2 linked regions of the Rhinolophus ferrumequinum genome follow. The protein of the gene in region 2 purifies or fractionates together with the protein of the main gene of each other region. This does not show direct contact. Links are inferred from orthologs where the notes say so. Each region holds a gene or a part of one and is shown on either strand. Other genes may lie near its edges.

Evidence for each region. The genes of interacting proteins can lie anywhere in the genome.
Region 1: the proteins of ANAPC1 (region 2) and CDC27 purify together in Homo sapiens (affinity purification with mass spectrometry; 16 studies listed by BioGRID and IntAct, with this or other methods). This does not show direct contact. The link is inferred for Rhinolophus ferrumequinum from reciprocal best matches to the Homo sapiens genes ANAPC1 and CDC27.

The regions. Positions count from the first base shown.
Region 1 is NC_046304.1:41,231,280-41,239,023, reverse strand, and holds the start of CDC27 (cell division cycle protein 27 homolog), read left to right. Parts: upstream 1-4,737; 5' UTR 4,738-4,876; coding exon 4,877-4,903; intron 4,904-7,744. UniProt on the Homo sapiens protein: Component of the anaphase promoting complex/cyclosome (APC/C), a cell cycle-regulated E3 ubiquitin ligase that controls progression through mitosis and the G1 phase of the cell cycle.
Region 2 is NW_022680356.1:579,438-586,710, forward strand, and holds the start of ANAPC1 (anaphase-promoting complex subunit 1), read left to right. Parts: upstream 1-4,217; 5' UTR 4,218-4,429; intron 4,430-6,319; 5' UTR 6,320-6,343; coding exon 6,344-6,556; intron 6,557-7,273. UniProt on the Homo sapiens protein: Component of the anaphase promoting complex/cyclosome (APC/C), a cell cycle-regulated E3 ubiquitin ligase that controls progression through mitosis and the G1 phase of the cell cycle.

The DNA.
Region 1 (7,744 bases), on a different chromosome or scaffold from region 2:
TAGAATTTGGGCCAATAAATTTGCGGCGAACTGGCAAGACAAAGGAAAAGGGGGTAGAGCTCCGAGGGGTGGTAAATTGCTGAAAGGTAAGTATATAGAGAAACTTATGAAAGATAAGGGTTATTTTAATAAGGTTTGTTTGTGCAGACCCAACTTAGTGCAAATCTGTCTCCAGTGATAACAGTTGTTTGCCTTCTGCTGGTATAGAAGAGGGGAGAGAAACACCTTCATAAAGGGAAATTTATATCCTGCTTTTAAGCAACTAGGGGAGGGAAAAGAGCTCTCTCTGTGTTTGCTGTTTCTTAATTCCTTTCAGCTCAAAATAATCCTTATGCCAAAGTGGAATGTTCTAATCTCTTCACTAGAATGTAGAGTAAAAGAGGGAGACAGGTGAGATAAAGCTGAATAAGGAGGCAAGGCCTAGACCTTAGAGGGCCTTACAAGACAAGTTAAAGGGTTTGGACTACATCCTCAGAACAATGGGAAATCCTGAGTTATGGCGTAAGGTTTAGGGAGGGGAGTTCTGACACGATCAGACTTATTTTTGGAGGTAGGTAAAACTGGAAGCAGGAAGAGACATGAAGGTCTATTTAGGAGGTAAAGTTAATAGCTCTTTGTGACTACCGTGTTTCCCTGACAATAAGACCTAGCCAGACAATCAGCTCTAATGCATCTTTTGGAACAAAAATTAATATAAGACCCGATCTTATTTTACCATAATATAAGACCGGGTCTTATATAGTATAATATAATATAATATAATGTAATGTAATGTAATGTAATATAATATAATATAATATAATACCAGGTCTTATATTAACTTTTGCTCCAAAAGACGCATTAGAGCTGATTGTCCGGTTAGGTCTTATTTTTGGAGAAATATAGTATATGCTAGGGTTAAAGAAAGAGAGTGGTCCAGGTTTGGACAGTGGAGAAGAGGGTGATGCCTTAAACAGGGATAGGAAATATTTCAAGTTCTATGTGGCATGAGGAGTTTCCCTGAGGACAATGTACCTGTGAGATATTCGGATAGAGACACCCAGTTGACAACTAGGCATTTGGGTCTGGAGTTCTAAGAAGCAGTCTGGCTGGAGATACAGATTTTGGAGTAATTTTAGATGAAAATTATGAGAATGGATGGGTTTGCCTAGGAAGAATGTGTAAGGTGAGATGGCCTAGAACAGAAGCATTCTAATGTTAGAGCGGCTGCCAAGGAAACGGATAAAGAACAGAGCAGTAGAAGGAAAATGAGGAGACTGTGTGATCAGAGATGACAAAGGAAAGGGATAATTTCACCAAGAGGAGCCAACGTGGGGGGCGGAAAGAGCCTCAAGGTCATGTTATATAAGGAGGATAAAAGGCAGCATGCAACAGGGACAAAAGAAGGGGACAGATAAGGAAGACTGAAGGAATTCAGAATTCAGAATTCAGAGGTAAGCTTACTCTGGGCTATATTTCAGTGGTACCTGCATCTTGCCAAAGATACCATGTCTAGCTTCTTGAATAGTTTCCTAAATGCTGGCCTCAAAATCTGATGGAACACAAAACAGACCAAGAGGCAGGCTAAGGAGGAGAGATAATTTACCATGTTTGGGATAATGCTTATTGTAACCAACTCCACTCACCAGTGAAACATATATGGATAATGGATGACAGCAGGATGCCCAAGTGCTTGCTGGATGGTGAGTTTAAGTAGGTCAATCAGGAACAGAGAAAGAAGTAAAAATCCTCTAAAAGATCGCATCAAAGAACAACTTCAAACAATGTGGTCTTGCTGCGCACATAGAAAACTACAACAGATGTGTTAGCCCACTGAACAATAGTCAAAAAAAAGATGCCCTTTTTTTTGGGGGGGGGGCAAAAACCTTTAGGCAAATTCTAAGCTTAAGAGCCAGAGTGCCAAACATCACAGACTGTTTAAATGCTAACTCTAGATACACATATTCACACACATAGCAATATCATCTTTATGGATCCTGTATTTTAAGTTCCTTCATTTAAGTTTATAAGAATTCATTGCACAAGTGTAAGACTTGGGTTGGCAGCACATTCTATGGAAAAAGAGCTGTGTTTGTAAAATGAACACAAGCTTAGCATGAGTGAAGTGTCATGTGACTGCTAAGAAATGCAAATACCACTTGAGTCTATTTTAATAGAAGTGTCCAGATAATAAAGAAGTAGTTTTACTGCATTCTGAATTAGAATAAATCTGGAGAGTTGTGTCAGTTAAATGCATCAGATTTTAAGAATAATGTCTTACCCTTTCCATTTCCACTACCAGATTTTCTCATCTTGTACCTGGTAGATGTACAAAGATGGACTAATTATCAAATGCTCTCATCGCACATGCCTTTTGGAATTTCACTTTGCCATAAATTCTCCCATGAAGAAGTGGAGTCTATTTCTCCTCTAGTTGAATGCAGGCTGGCCCTGTGTCTTTCACCAACAAGAAGTGACGGGGTTTGGACCTAGGTCTTAAGGGGCCCAGGTCTTACCGGCCTAGGTCTTAAGGGGCCCAACAGCTTCTGCTTTCATCCTCTTGGTTGCCAACCACCAAGTCAAGAAGCTAGAGCTAAACTACTGACTGATGAGAAGCCAAGGTTGAAAGAGAGCTGTGGAGAACTGAGGAGCTCAGTCAGCAGCTAAGACCAAGTCCTCAAACATGTGAGTCCTTGCATCTTTCAGCCCCAGTCAGACCAATGATGGTAATATTCTTTACCTGTGCTATCCAGTATGGAGGTCAGCCACGTGTCTATTAAGTCCTTGGAATGTGGCCAGGGCATCTAAAGAACTTCATTTTTAATTTCACTTGAATTTAACTAAACTTTAAAATAGCGAGTAGCTACCGTACTGGACAGTGTAGAAGACTATTGCCATTCAAATTCACCCAGCATAACCCTGTTAAAAGAACAGATCACAGAAAATCACCTTAGCACCTACCCTTTATGGGGCTACAAGTACATAAGCAGTGATTACAGATGGCTGGTGGACATGCCAGTTGCTTTGTCGACTAGTGTTTAAAAAAAACAGTCACACAAAGGAAGAGAGTGACCCATTCTAATCTGATTTCATCTGTATAAAATAAGAACCAGAAAGGGAAATTTCCATACAGTGGAATATACTATGAGTACCACATGTAACCTAGAAATGTTCTAACTAGAAAATTAACCTTCTGGTGGCTCAGATGGTTGGAGTGCCATGCTAACGCTGAGGTCGCCAGTTCGATTCCCACGGGGGCCAGTGAGCTGTGCCCTCTACAGCTAAGATTGTGAACAAAGGCTCTCCCTGGAGCTGGGTAGCCGTGAGCAGCTGGAGGTTGGTGTGGGCTGCCGGGGCTGCAGCGGGCAGGCTCCCGCAGGCTGCTGTGCGGCCGTGGGCTACCGTGTGCTGCCAGGCGCGGCCCGTGGCCAGCGTAAGTGGCCTATAGCCATTGTGAGTGGCCGGCGGCCGGCAAGAGCTGCTGTGAGCTGCCGACTGACGACTGGCAACCGACTGCCTTAGCCGGGGGAAGCACCAGGCTCATAACACCAGCCTGGGCCAGGGAGCTGTGTCCTACCCAACTAGACTGAGAAACAAGGGCTTGAACCTGAGTGGGGGCGGGGAGGTGGAAGAAGGGGGGAAATTAACCTTCAAAAATGATATTTCTCATCTCCTGAAAAACAAAGTTTTACTAGTTCTCTGGTTCACGTATTTTTTGGGGGAAGGGGCATAAAAGTAACTTGAGAGAGCCTACTGCATTAGACAGCCACATACATTAATATATTCATCTTATTTTTTTCAGACTAAGAACATGAAGTTCAGAGAGTTTATAACTTGCCTAAGGTCCTAAAAATACGTAGTAGCGCCAGAGATTAAATTCAAAAGCAAGCCTCTGCCTTTCCAATCCCACACTCTTTCCAATACACCAGAATGCCTCTGCAATCAAGAATAAAAATTTCTGCCTGTCTTTTGAGATTGTCCATGATCTGGTCACGTAATATTTCCAGTTAATGCCTTCACTCTTAACAGACTGATCTCATTTCTGCTTTCCTTCACTTTCCTTTTTTTCCCCTTCTCATTCTAACCGTTCTTCAAATCCCAATTTATCCCGTTTTCCTTCTGTGAAAAGTTCCTCATCTTAATCCCAATTAATTTCCCTCTTCTCTGAATTTTTACATCATTTCTAATGGGCCCCACACAAGGTAGCAGCACTTTTCCCTTAAATAGACTGTAATCTCTTTGAGGACAGGGGCCATACTAAAACTTTGAAGGATGGAAATTTCCTATTTCCCTCTAAGCTATGAAGAGATACTTCTGGAATGGATAAATGACCTGCATTCAATAGGCAAATACTTCATGATTAATTAAACTCAGCCTCAAACTCCCGAGTTTTACCCTTTGCTTAATCGACCGCACACGAATTAATCCAGAAAGCTGAGCGGCGAATCAAGACGGCAGCCGGGCCACGTAACGATCCCCTCCAGCTCCAGCACGACACGCCCAGCCCGCTGGGTGCTGATTGGGCGTGGCCCAACCGAGGGTGGACGATTGGGCGTGGCGTGCGTGAGTAGAGGCGGGGCCGAGAAGAGGAACCTATGCTCTGGGTCAGACTCGGTAGTCTCCGACAATTCTCGACAATTTCCGGCAACGGTCTCCTCCTCCGCCGGTTCGCCTCGGGTTTTTCCGGCCTCCTTCGGGCTTTTCCGTCTGGCTCCCGCGCGGATCTCTTCACTTCGGGTATTTCCGTGTCCCGCTCGGAGGTGCTCGGCAATCGCTCGGCCGCCCCCATCCCCCGGTAACGGTCGCTGGTGAGTTTAAATGAGCCGGGGCTGGCCGGGCCGGAGCCGCTACGGGGGGGGGCCTGAGGCACTGCAGAAAGTGGGTTTGAGCCTCAAGGATGACGGTGCTGCAGGAACCCGTCCAGGTAATGATAACCCCCTTCTCTGAGGCTTGGCTCGCGGCCCCAGTCGGGAAGCCGCGTATGGCTACTCCGCGGCCTGGTGCGGCCTAGGCCCGGCTGCTTCTCCCGCCTCTCCTTATGCCCGGTCCTGCCTGTCTTCTCGTCAGTTCGGAGGCCTTGCCCACAACCTAAGCCGTGTTATCTCTGGGCCTACGTTACTTCTGCCCCTAGTGTGAGCGGCATTCGGCGATAATACCTTCCTTTCCGAGCCGACGTCCGGCTAGCCCTCCTGTCAGTCTAGGGGCCTGGTCCTGGCTGGGGTGAGAGATGAGGGTGGGCGGAGGGTGGCGGGGGAAACTCGCCCCAGGTGCTCTGTTACCTAAAGGATGATTGGGAAGCACATTTGATCAGAGCTTGCGCGGTCTTCATAATGGTGGGGCAAGTTGGTGAGGGGGGTGGTGGTGGTTCGGTTTGGTTTTTGTCTTTCTGTGAGAGGTTGGAGGGATCGGTATTTTTTATACTAATTTCTATTTTGGTAACAGACTGAGTAGCCCACGTTGCTTTTCTCGTTCCGTGAATTTCCCACTGAACAATAATCTGAGAACTCCCAAGGCCTAGTGCTGAGGTGCAAGCACCTATACAAGGGGAGAGGGTGGAAACGGCAAATCGGGGGTTTTTTCCTTGGCCTCTGATGGGGATCAAGAATGTTTCAGTTCACGTTTATAAGGCGTCCAGGAAATGAAAGACCAAGAATGGTTTTTCCGTCTGTCTCACTGCCCTTACCACACCAAGGTATGCTTTGACGCACGCTGCTCTGTTGGCATGGAAGAAGCCCGATTGGATTTGAAGTGTGCGATGCAGTGCCAAGTCATTTCCCCCCTGCCATCTGAAGGAACTGAATCTTTTGTCCCTTGGTGATGGACCAGGTCTGGTCTGGGAGACTTTCGATCCACCATTTGATCTTTGACTTGATTTAAAAAGTTGACCTCTATCAACTACTGTCATTGAGTCATGGACTTTCTTTATTTTGAAGTTATAAAGCAAATCGAGTTTAGAAGTTAATTCATATTACCCTTAATAGGCCTGTGATAGCAAATAGTAAATATTTTAATACATTACCCCTTCGTATTACCTTAATTCTTCTTCACCAGATGAAATACCAATTTCTTCTAGTTGGCTTCTTCTCTAGCCCTTTACATATAGCAGCTATTATTGGTTGAATTAATATAATATAGGATTCTAGTTTAGGAAATTCACCTGTTTGTAAGTTGTACTAGTGCTTCCAAAGCTATTTCTTAACATCCAGATTCCTCTTACTAGTAAAGAGTCCCTTTTAAGATTGTTTTTTTTTTTGAGGCCTAACATGAAATTAGAAGTTGCTATCTGTACCTTAAATGGATAAGTAGATCACTCAGTTGTTTAATTTGTCTCATATTCTTGTAATTTTGCCTTAATAATGGATACATTTGCCTTCTCTTACCCCAAAAGGCTTCTAAAATGATAAGCTAGTTGTATTGCTAGCTTATAACTACTATTTAATAATAATTTCAACTTGTATAAAAATGTGGAGAAGAAAAGAAATATATAAGCTATTCCTACACAGTATTCCTCAGGTTTCCTTTTTTTTTTCCCTTAAACTACTCTTGGCAGTAATACACTTAGGTATTTTTAAGGCTTAAAAGTCAAATTTGTTTTTTTTGGGGTTTTTTTTCACACTACCTTTGGCCCATTAGATTCAGGGATGGTGGTAAGAAGCTTTCGGATATGGCTAGGTGAGAATTTTGGTTGTGACTTATAGTATACAAGTAAGATACCATTCAGGAAGGGATCTGGAGCAGTGGGAGGAACAAGCAACTTTGGCTACAGTGATAAAGATCAACTTTAATCAGGAATAGTGCTGAAAATGGAAAGAATTAGGAGGAAAATAAAAATAGGACAGATAAATAAGGTACTATTTTTTTTGTTAACTGGCGAGTGATTGTATGCATATGTATAGGAATGAGAGTAAGATGGAAAGTTGTTTCCTTTCTTGGCATAACTCAAGGTATTACTGGGCATAGGAAAAAGTTGAGAGAAAAGGTGAGCAACTGTTTTCTGCTTTTTTTTTCTTTAAAATTTTAATGTGGGGTACTCAGTGTGATATACCATGTAAGCCTAAATATAAGCTCCTCCATATTATTTCTCGTAGTAAAAGTGTTATTTGTCTGTGGGGGCGCAAAAAAACCAACTTTTGCCCCACCTTCTGTTTTCTTCTAGCTGGGCTAATTATCAGATTAACATGAGACAGGTTAACAGGAGAAAATGTCCAAATTTTATTACAGATGTGCATGACGGGGTGTCATAAAAATGAGACATGAAGACACATTGGACAATTGAGGTTTATGTGCCATTTTAGACAAAGGTGAAGTGGAGCAGGGGTCTGGGATTTCAAAGGAAAGTAGGCAATTCACAGGTAGACAAGAAAGAGCAAACATGTGGTAAACAAATTCTTGCTGGGCTACCCAGAAACAATGGGTCACAGAAGGAAGCTCAACAAACAGGCTTTGCTAGGCTTCTCACTTTCTTCCACATTTAGTTTATATTGAGGCTAAAAGAAGGTGATGCTCCCCTTCTTTTTCTATCTGAATTCCTTTAGACAGGTAAGGGGGGAGAGTCAAAGGTTCTGAGTCTTTTGTTTCTTAATAACCAGCTTAAAATCATTATGCCAGAAGGCATATTTTGGGTTGGCAAAACTTTGGTTCCCCTCAAATCTTTACAAAAACCTCTCCTATTATGAGACAGAATTCTGTTAATTATTTGTAATATAACTTTGGGAAAGAAACTCACATAAATGAGTTCAATCAGTGCTAATTTGGATGTTTATAA
Region 2 (7,273 bases):
CCCCAGCCGCTCGGGACTGCACCCCAGGGGCTGGCTTCTCTCTTGGCCCATCCAGAGGACTGACTTGTGAAAGGCATGAGGGAGGCGGGAAGAGGCAGGGATTGCTGCACGTAGGACTCTGGGAGGACACGAAAGGGATGCGGATCCTATTAGCTGCCTTGCCCGGGGACCCCCGGTGGGTGCGCGGCACCGCTAGTGTTCCGCCTGCCTCGCCCACCCCCTCCACCCCGCGGCCAGCGCCCTCTGTGCCCTCCACCCGCCGCGGCAAGATCGAGCTCAGGCCGAGGGCTCCGAGCTCCCGGGGAAAGCTGGCCGTTGTCTCCCGGCCAGGGAGAGACCGCAAACTTGAGCTTTAGCGCCACCTTTGGGAGAACAACCTACATTTTAGAGGTAAAACTATAAAATTTTAAGAAAACAAAGGAGTACATATCACAAACGATCGTGGACTTGGCGATAGATTCTTAGGTACCACCTCTAGAGCACACGCAATGACAGACACAAGGTAAGTGGGAATTCATAAATATGCCCAAATCGTGTCTCCGAGGGCACTATCAGGTGGGAAAGGACAACCCATGCAATGGGAGGAAATATTAGCAAAGCAGAGATCCGTGAAAGGTCTAGTACTTATACAGATAAAGAGCTCTTGCAACGTCTGATGGTTAGTGTTATGTGTCAGTTTGACTGGGCTATAGTACCCAGTTATCTGACCAAACACATCTGCAATCAATTGACTTTGGAGGTTGTTACTCTTGAAAATGGGGGTGGGTCTGTACTCAGCTGAAATCCTTAAGAGGAAAAATTGAGGTTTCTTGATGAAGAAGAAATTATGCCTCATATCACAGTACAAAATCTTGCTGAGCTTTTAGTCTGCTGGTCTACCCTACAGACTTTAGGCTTGCCGAGCCCCATAAGGACAAGAATCATTTCATGAAATAAATCTCTTTATATGCGTTTCTCTGTGTATGTACATGTGCATACATACATATATGTATAAACACACACGTATCTTCATGCTAGAAATATACATGTTCTTTCTCTCTGGAGAAGTCTGATGGATACAGGTTTTGGTAAACAGGATGGTTCTAGAGGAATAGAACCTAAAAGATGTGTTTTCTCAAGCAATCCTGGATCTTCTGGAATTGGTTCTCGAATCTGATTAAATATAAAGGCACAAATGACCGTATTGCCAGTGTTGAAGAAGGCATTGACAGTCCATAGTACAAGGTGGTAATAGAGATATACAAAGGATCACCACTGGATGGATATTCCTAATCAAATATGTATTTTTAAAAAGGTTCTAGGTGACTATGAATTTGATATTTTAGATCATGTTTTACAAACTAACAAATGTGGCAAAATTAGGTGATTGCTCCTACTTGCACTTGATTGAATAAGAAAAAGGTGAGCTCAAGGTGTTCAATTTCCAACGCAAGCGCCCCTCAAATGCCGAGAAATTTCTATATCTTCCCTGAAACTCTTGAGCACTAATATAACTTTAGCGCTGAGATGTTTGAAAACCTAACTCAGTCTCATCCTGCAAGTGGGTGAATTACAACCAAAATTGAATGTCTGTCCACATGGCAGTGAAAGTGATAGCGATGATTTAGAAGAAATAGGGTCCTAAAAGTTGGAATGGGGACACATGGGTGGTTCCTGATTAAGCGGGGACATTGAACTCCAAGACTGTGCAGGCTTCTTTGTGCAGAAGAAGCCCTCCCACTCCTGCCTGAGGAGCTTGCCTCTGCTTCTCCTAAATCCACAAGGATCACCCCCGAGGTACTTGCCTTGCAAGGCTCTATTACCCTGCTCAGGACCTGCGCCCACAGCCCTTTTTGCTTCCAGACTTGTTAGCAGACTCAGCTTCCAGCAGGTTCCAAGAGTGCGGTATAGACTGTGACCCACGAGGACTTCAGCTACACTCCAAACGAGCTGCACCCTTTCCCCAGTTCACACAGACAGAAATCTAGGAAAACTGTGGAGAAATGAGATGTTAAGGGTTTGGGATGACAGTGGAAGGAACATGCAGTTGGATTAGGTGCAACATACTGCTTGGGGCCCATTATGCAGACATGGTCTTCAATGTCATATCTCAAGGGGGTACAAAGTCCTCTAACAGCTTGTTTGCTGGATTGGTTTTGACATGGACCAAAAGGCACAGCACACAAAATGAAACTCAACTGCCTTGGTACAGTGAAGAAGGTGTCGGAATAATCACTCTACAGCAGCTCAGAGAACACAGGTAAACAATCTGACAACAGAAGGAAAACAGTACAAGAACAAATCGAGTTCAACAAACAGACAGAAAACATAAAAAACGTGAAAAAAAGAACCAAGCAGATTTCAGAGCTGAAGAATGTAGAAAAGCCAGATTTCAGTGATATGCCACCCTTGCTACAAATGTGCATCTCTTCGGAGTGACTGTCAGTTAACGCTGGGCCACTGGGTGCCCAGAAATGTGGAGTTGTCCCCCCTCGGCTGCATCACATATACAAGTATTGCAGGATCGGCATTCAGGAGCTTCCCAGTCCTGCAGTGGAAACCCTTTGGCATTCTTGCCTTCCCCCTGGCTCTGATCTGTATCGGGGGCCATCCACCCCATCTGTGCTCATGTTATGGCGGCCCTCGCACACTAACACAGTCTGTTGGGACACAGGGAAGAGGTTCCTGACAGCACTGTGGAAATGGCAGCAGAATTGAACCATGTCAAGGTCCAACAGCAGTAAAAGGCTGATTCGCTGAGAAAAATGACCTCCTTTATGGACTATTAAGGAGATGAATAAGGCCACAGCTCCTGACCTGGCCCACCTACCACACGGTTCGCTGTGCTCTGTGAGAGGACACGTTGCAGAGAAATGTATCCAATACCTTAATCACACACCATTTTTTGTACAAACCAGTCTACCAAATGTGATGATGCATAAGGCTTGGAGAAGGTCTGCAAAGACAGTTCAGCTGACTGTATCACAGGATACCTAGGGAGGTAAACAGTCAAAATTAGCAAAATGTAAGGACAGCATAAATGTTTTCCTCTACGATTCCAACAAACAGGTGAAAAGTGTATTTCTACCCCACCAGGCAGCTGGTGGGAGGAGAGAGGAACCAAGACCATGGCCCTGGCAGATTCAGCATCTGGCGAGGGCTCACTTTCTGGCTCATTGACGGCTGTCTCTTTTGCTGTGTCCCCACTTGGTGGAAGCGCTCCAGGGAGTCCTTTTCTTTATAAGAGCCCTAAGCCCATTCATGAGGGCTCAACCCTCAGGACCTAAGCGCCTCCTGAGTGTTCCACCTCCAAGCACCATCTTACAGGGCTTTAGGTTTCAACATAAGAATCTCGGGGGACACAGCATTCATTCCTCAGCAGGCTCCTTCCTCTGGGAGGGAAGCCTTCTGAGAAGAGGCCTATGAGCTAACCTCTGAAGGTTGACGTTGCTAATGAAGGGACAAGAATGAACACACACACCAAGGCCTCAGAGTGCAAGGTGTGTTTGGGGACTTCCAAGAGACCACTTTAGTGCAGACAAGAAGTTTCAGCCAATTTTACATTTCTGGATAAAGAATTTGAACTTTATTCCTTAGGCAACAGGATGCCTATCAATACTTTTAACCCAGAGATACTGCGCAAAAGAAGATTAGAACTCAAGGAAATTTTCTAGTTTCCTTAAGTGTGATATTGTGCAGTTAAATCCAGACAGGGAGGGCTGGGTAGAGCTGGGCTTCTTAACCCAGGTCTAGGAATCATGGGGATGGGGGGGCAGTAAGGGGGGCAGGGGTGTCTGGGAAGCTCAGAAATCGCAGGCAACGTTTTCGTGAAGGCATCCATATCTTTCATAGACTTTTCAAAGGGTTCAGGCCCCTCATGGTTAAAGAGAGAAAATCAGCAGGTCTTCTCTTCTCCAAGCTTGGAGAGGCAGGTACCTCCCATTGGGGAGTCAGTATAACTAGCAGGAAAGTCCCCTAGTTCAGAGTTAGGAGGCAGTTCAGACTCGTACTGACACGACTGGAGAAGATGTGAACGCCAGGAGGGTCTTGTCACAATAGTCCTGCTTCCAGGCTGGGCCGCTGCCCTAAGAAGGAGGTACCCTGGCAGGTAGGCCCCAGCATCCTTCCTGATACTCACTGCACAAAGGACCGCAGCTTCGCGCCTCCTGGTGAGGCTCCGCCCCTGAGGCCCCGCCCCGCTAGGTCCTGCTCCTGCTTGGCCCGGCGCGAAGCACGACGGGAAGCCAAGATGGCCGCCTCCATTTGAACTCTCCAGAGCTTCTCGCCTCACGCCCGCCTTTCCTCAGGTGCTGCTCACTCTTCCTCCAGAGTAGGGAAGGAGGGGGGAATGAGAAGCTGCAGCAGCCGAGGAGTCCCGGTGACCGACTCTGCCGCTGCCCTCGGGGAGCAGCCGGGGCTCGCCGCGCCTGACGCGTCCTGAGTTACTCAGGTAAGGGCCCGGCCGGCGGCGACAGGTCAGCGCGTGTCCCCTGACCCCCGCACCTGTCCCGAGGCCGACGGTGCGGGACCGGAAGGGAGGACCCAGCGCCCGGGGGCAGCCCAGCTTGCGGGCTGGGCTCTCCGGCGCGCCTCCCCGGGCTGCACGCGGGGTCCGCGTGCGGCCTCAGCTCCCAGATGGGCCCCTTCCCCTGCGACGGGGCTTTCTGAGGCCCAGGTTCTCAGCGTGTTGTTTTCACTGACCCCTGAAGACCTGAAGAGGCGGAGGAAGCTCTGCCTTTTTGCGGAGACTCAACTCGGGGTGCCTTCGCAGGGCCTTTCGGTGTCTTCTTGAACCAGCTTCGCGGTCGCTTCTGGGAGGGTAGCTTGGTTTCTAGTGAGCACTGATGATGTCTTGATTCTTAGCACGTCAGTTTAATATAGTGCTTTTATACGTGTGGCTCCTTACGTTGCCCCCATAAGTAAACACATACAGGTTTGAGGTACAGTGAAAGTATTAAACATGTTGCCTTAATCAGCACAAGATACTGTACTGTAAAAATAGTTCTATGATTAATAATTTTGTAATTTTCACTCAAAATTTTAAGATGTTGGTCATCCTGTTGACTAGAATATAATAAGAAGACCAGCTGAATTTTATTGTTTTCTTGTAAGTCTTCCGAGGCACTGTCTCAGTCATATTCCAAGTATAAGTGTTCTCAGTACTGACTTTTAGCAGGAGGAGAAAAGTGTCATGATTGTCATGTACAGTTGTCTGAGGAAGAAAGTTTAATTAACAGCAAAATAAATGCAACGCTTGCAGAGCCGCATGGGGACTCCAGGGGCCTTGACATATTGCAGCAAAGAGCCTGAAAGACCCCAGGGGAGAAACTAAGTTAAATTCAACTCTTTTTAGTGTGAATGCATTTCAAATACTCATTTGTGCTGACATTAGTGTTTGTTTTGATTTCTGTGTTTGAGGATTGCAGCTTAAATGTGATGCCACAAAACCCGTTTTTCACATAGGTGTTGTCTCGCAGACAAAACTAACATCCACCTCCTACATCACATTGTACAGTGTCAGAATTTGACTGGCTGCCACTTCCTGTTTGTAGAAATGTTTTGAAAGTAGAGGGGCTGGTTTCCACCCACAGCTCATCCACACCCTAGTAGTGATAAAGTGAACTGTACTAGATTATGTTAACTAGAAGATAGAACTCTTAAATTTGCAAGCAAGCATGACTGTTTCATGGACAGAGCTTCCTTAGGTTCGACCAAAAATTGGAATTGATTATGGTTATATGTTTAGTTGGATCGGGGTGTCAGAATTACTGATGACATGTGATAGCTTATTAAAGCAGTGGTTTAACTTTTGATGAATTAGAAGAAATACGTGAGTTCTGTTTGCTTGTTTGTTTCATTTCAATATGCCAGTGATCCTTTATATGCTTTTCAAATGAGATTCCAGCATCTGAACAGAAATGATGTTAAATGTCGAGAGCTGGGAAGTCATCGGACTATGAAGTACAACTTGTCTAAATACCTCAATGTGAATTATAGAAAAATTAGTGTATAGTGGTAGGAAACATAGGATAGGTATTGTGGGATGTAAGTGCTAGTCTCATCCCAATAGTTTCCTACAGTGGTAACTGTTGATCTGTTTGCAACAAAAAAGGAACTGTAATGTTAATTATGGAATGACAGTGTAACTGTAAAATGATAACTGCAATTACCTGAAAAAGTCAGATCTGGAATGTCCATTGACACAATGATCACTTGTACATCTACAGTGTGATAGAATTATGTGACACTTACCTAAAAATTAAGGACTAGTAAACTTTCATGATATTTTTTATTTTGTTTGACTCTAACATCTGACCAGAATGTGTTTCAATTCATACAGAAATAATGTTGATATTTGGAACCCATGTCGAACTTGTATGAAGACAGGGCAACAATGATTGCAGCCGGGGACTTGCAGGAATTTGCTCCTTTCGGTCGAGACCACTGCAGGCACCACCCTAACGCTCTGAACCTTCAGCTTCGCCAGCTGCAGCCAGCCTCTGAGTTCCGGTCTTCGGATGGTGCTGCTGGCTTGGTGGGATCCCTTCAGGAGGTTACAATCCATGAGAAACACAAGGTTCCGTTAAGTTTCTCACTCTGTTTTTGAAATGCAGAGTAATGTGTCCACTTGTAATTTAAGGTGCCCAGAGGCAAGTGCGAAATGAGTATGAAGCTACTTCTCGGGTAGAGGCTAAGATTTGGTCATTTTTATCAAGGCTAAAAATAATGAGTTTATCGTGAGAATCAGTCTGATTATGGTCCATTTTCAACCTCTTCACTTGGAATGTGGAGATCAGATTTCATGTTATTTGCTGATTAGATAGTAGAGTTAGGAATGGTCCCTGCTGCAAAAATCTTGTGTGTGTAGAGGAGAAAAGAAAAGCCACTGAAATAGCTACAGTAGTAAGTACTTCTTAGGTAGGTGCATAGGATGTCATTGTGTGTGTCAGAAAATCAGCCTTTCTCATCTTACTCCATTTTCATATCCCTTTTGGGATACAAAAATCTCAGGGAGGGGAAGGGTATGCAATTAGCAATCTATACCTTTCTCTCTCGCTTGTTTGGACCGTTGGGACCAGGGAAGGAAGGTGAATTGTCCGTGCACTTGGGAAGCAGGGAAGTCTGCATGGCGCATAGGCTCCCCTGGTGTTCCCACATGTGCCTCACTGGCCCTCCCCATTACCCCCCAGATACTTACTGTGTCTTTATAGTCTCCTAAGCTCTTGGGTTTCATTTTTCAATATACAGGTAAGGTGTGATTTTTGTTTGTTTATATTTTAGGCAGCATAATGTA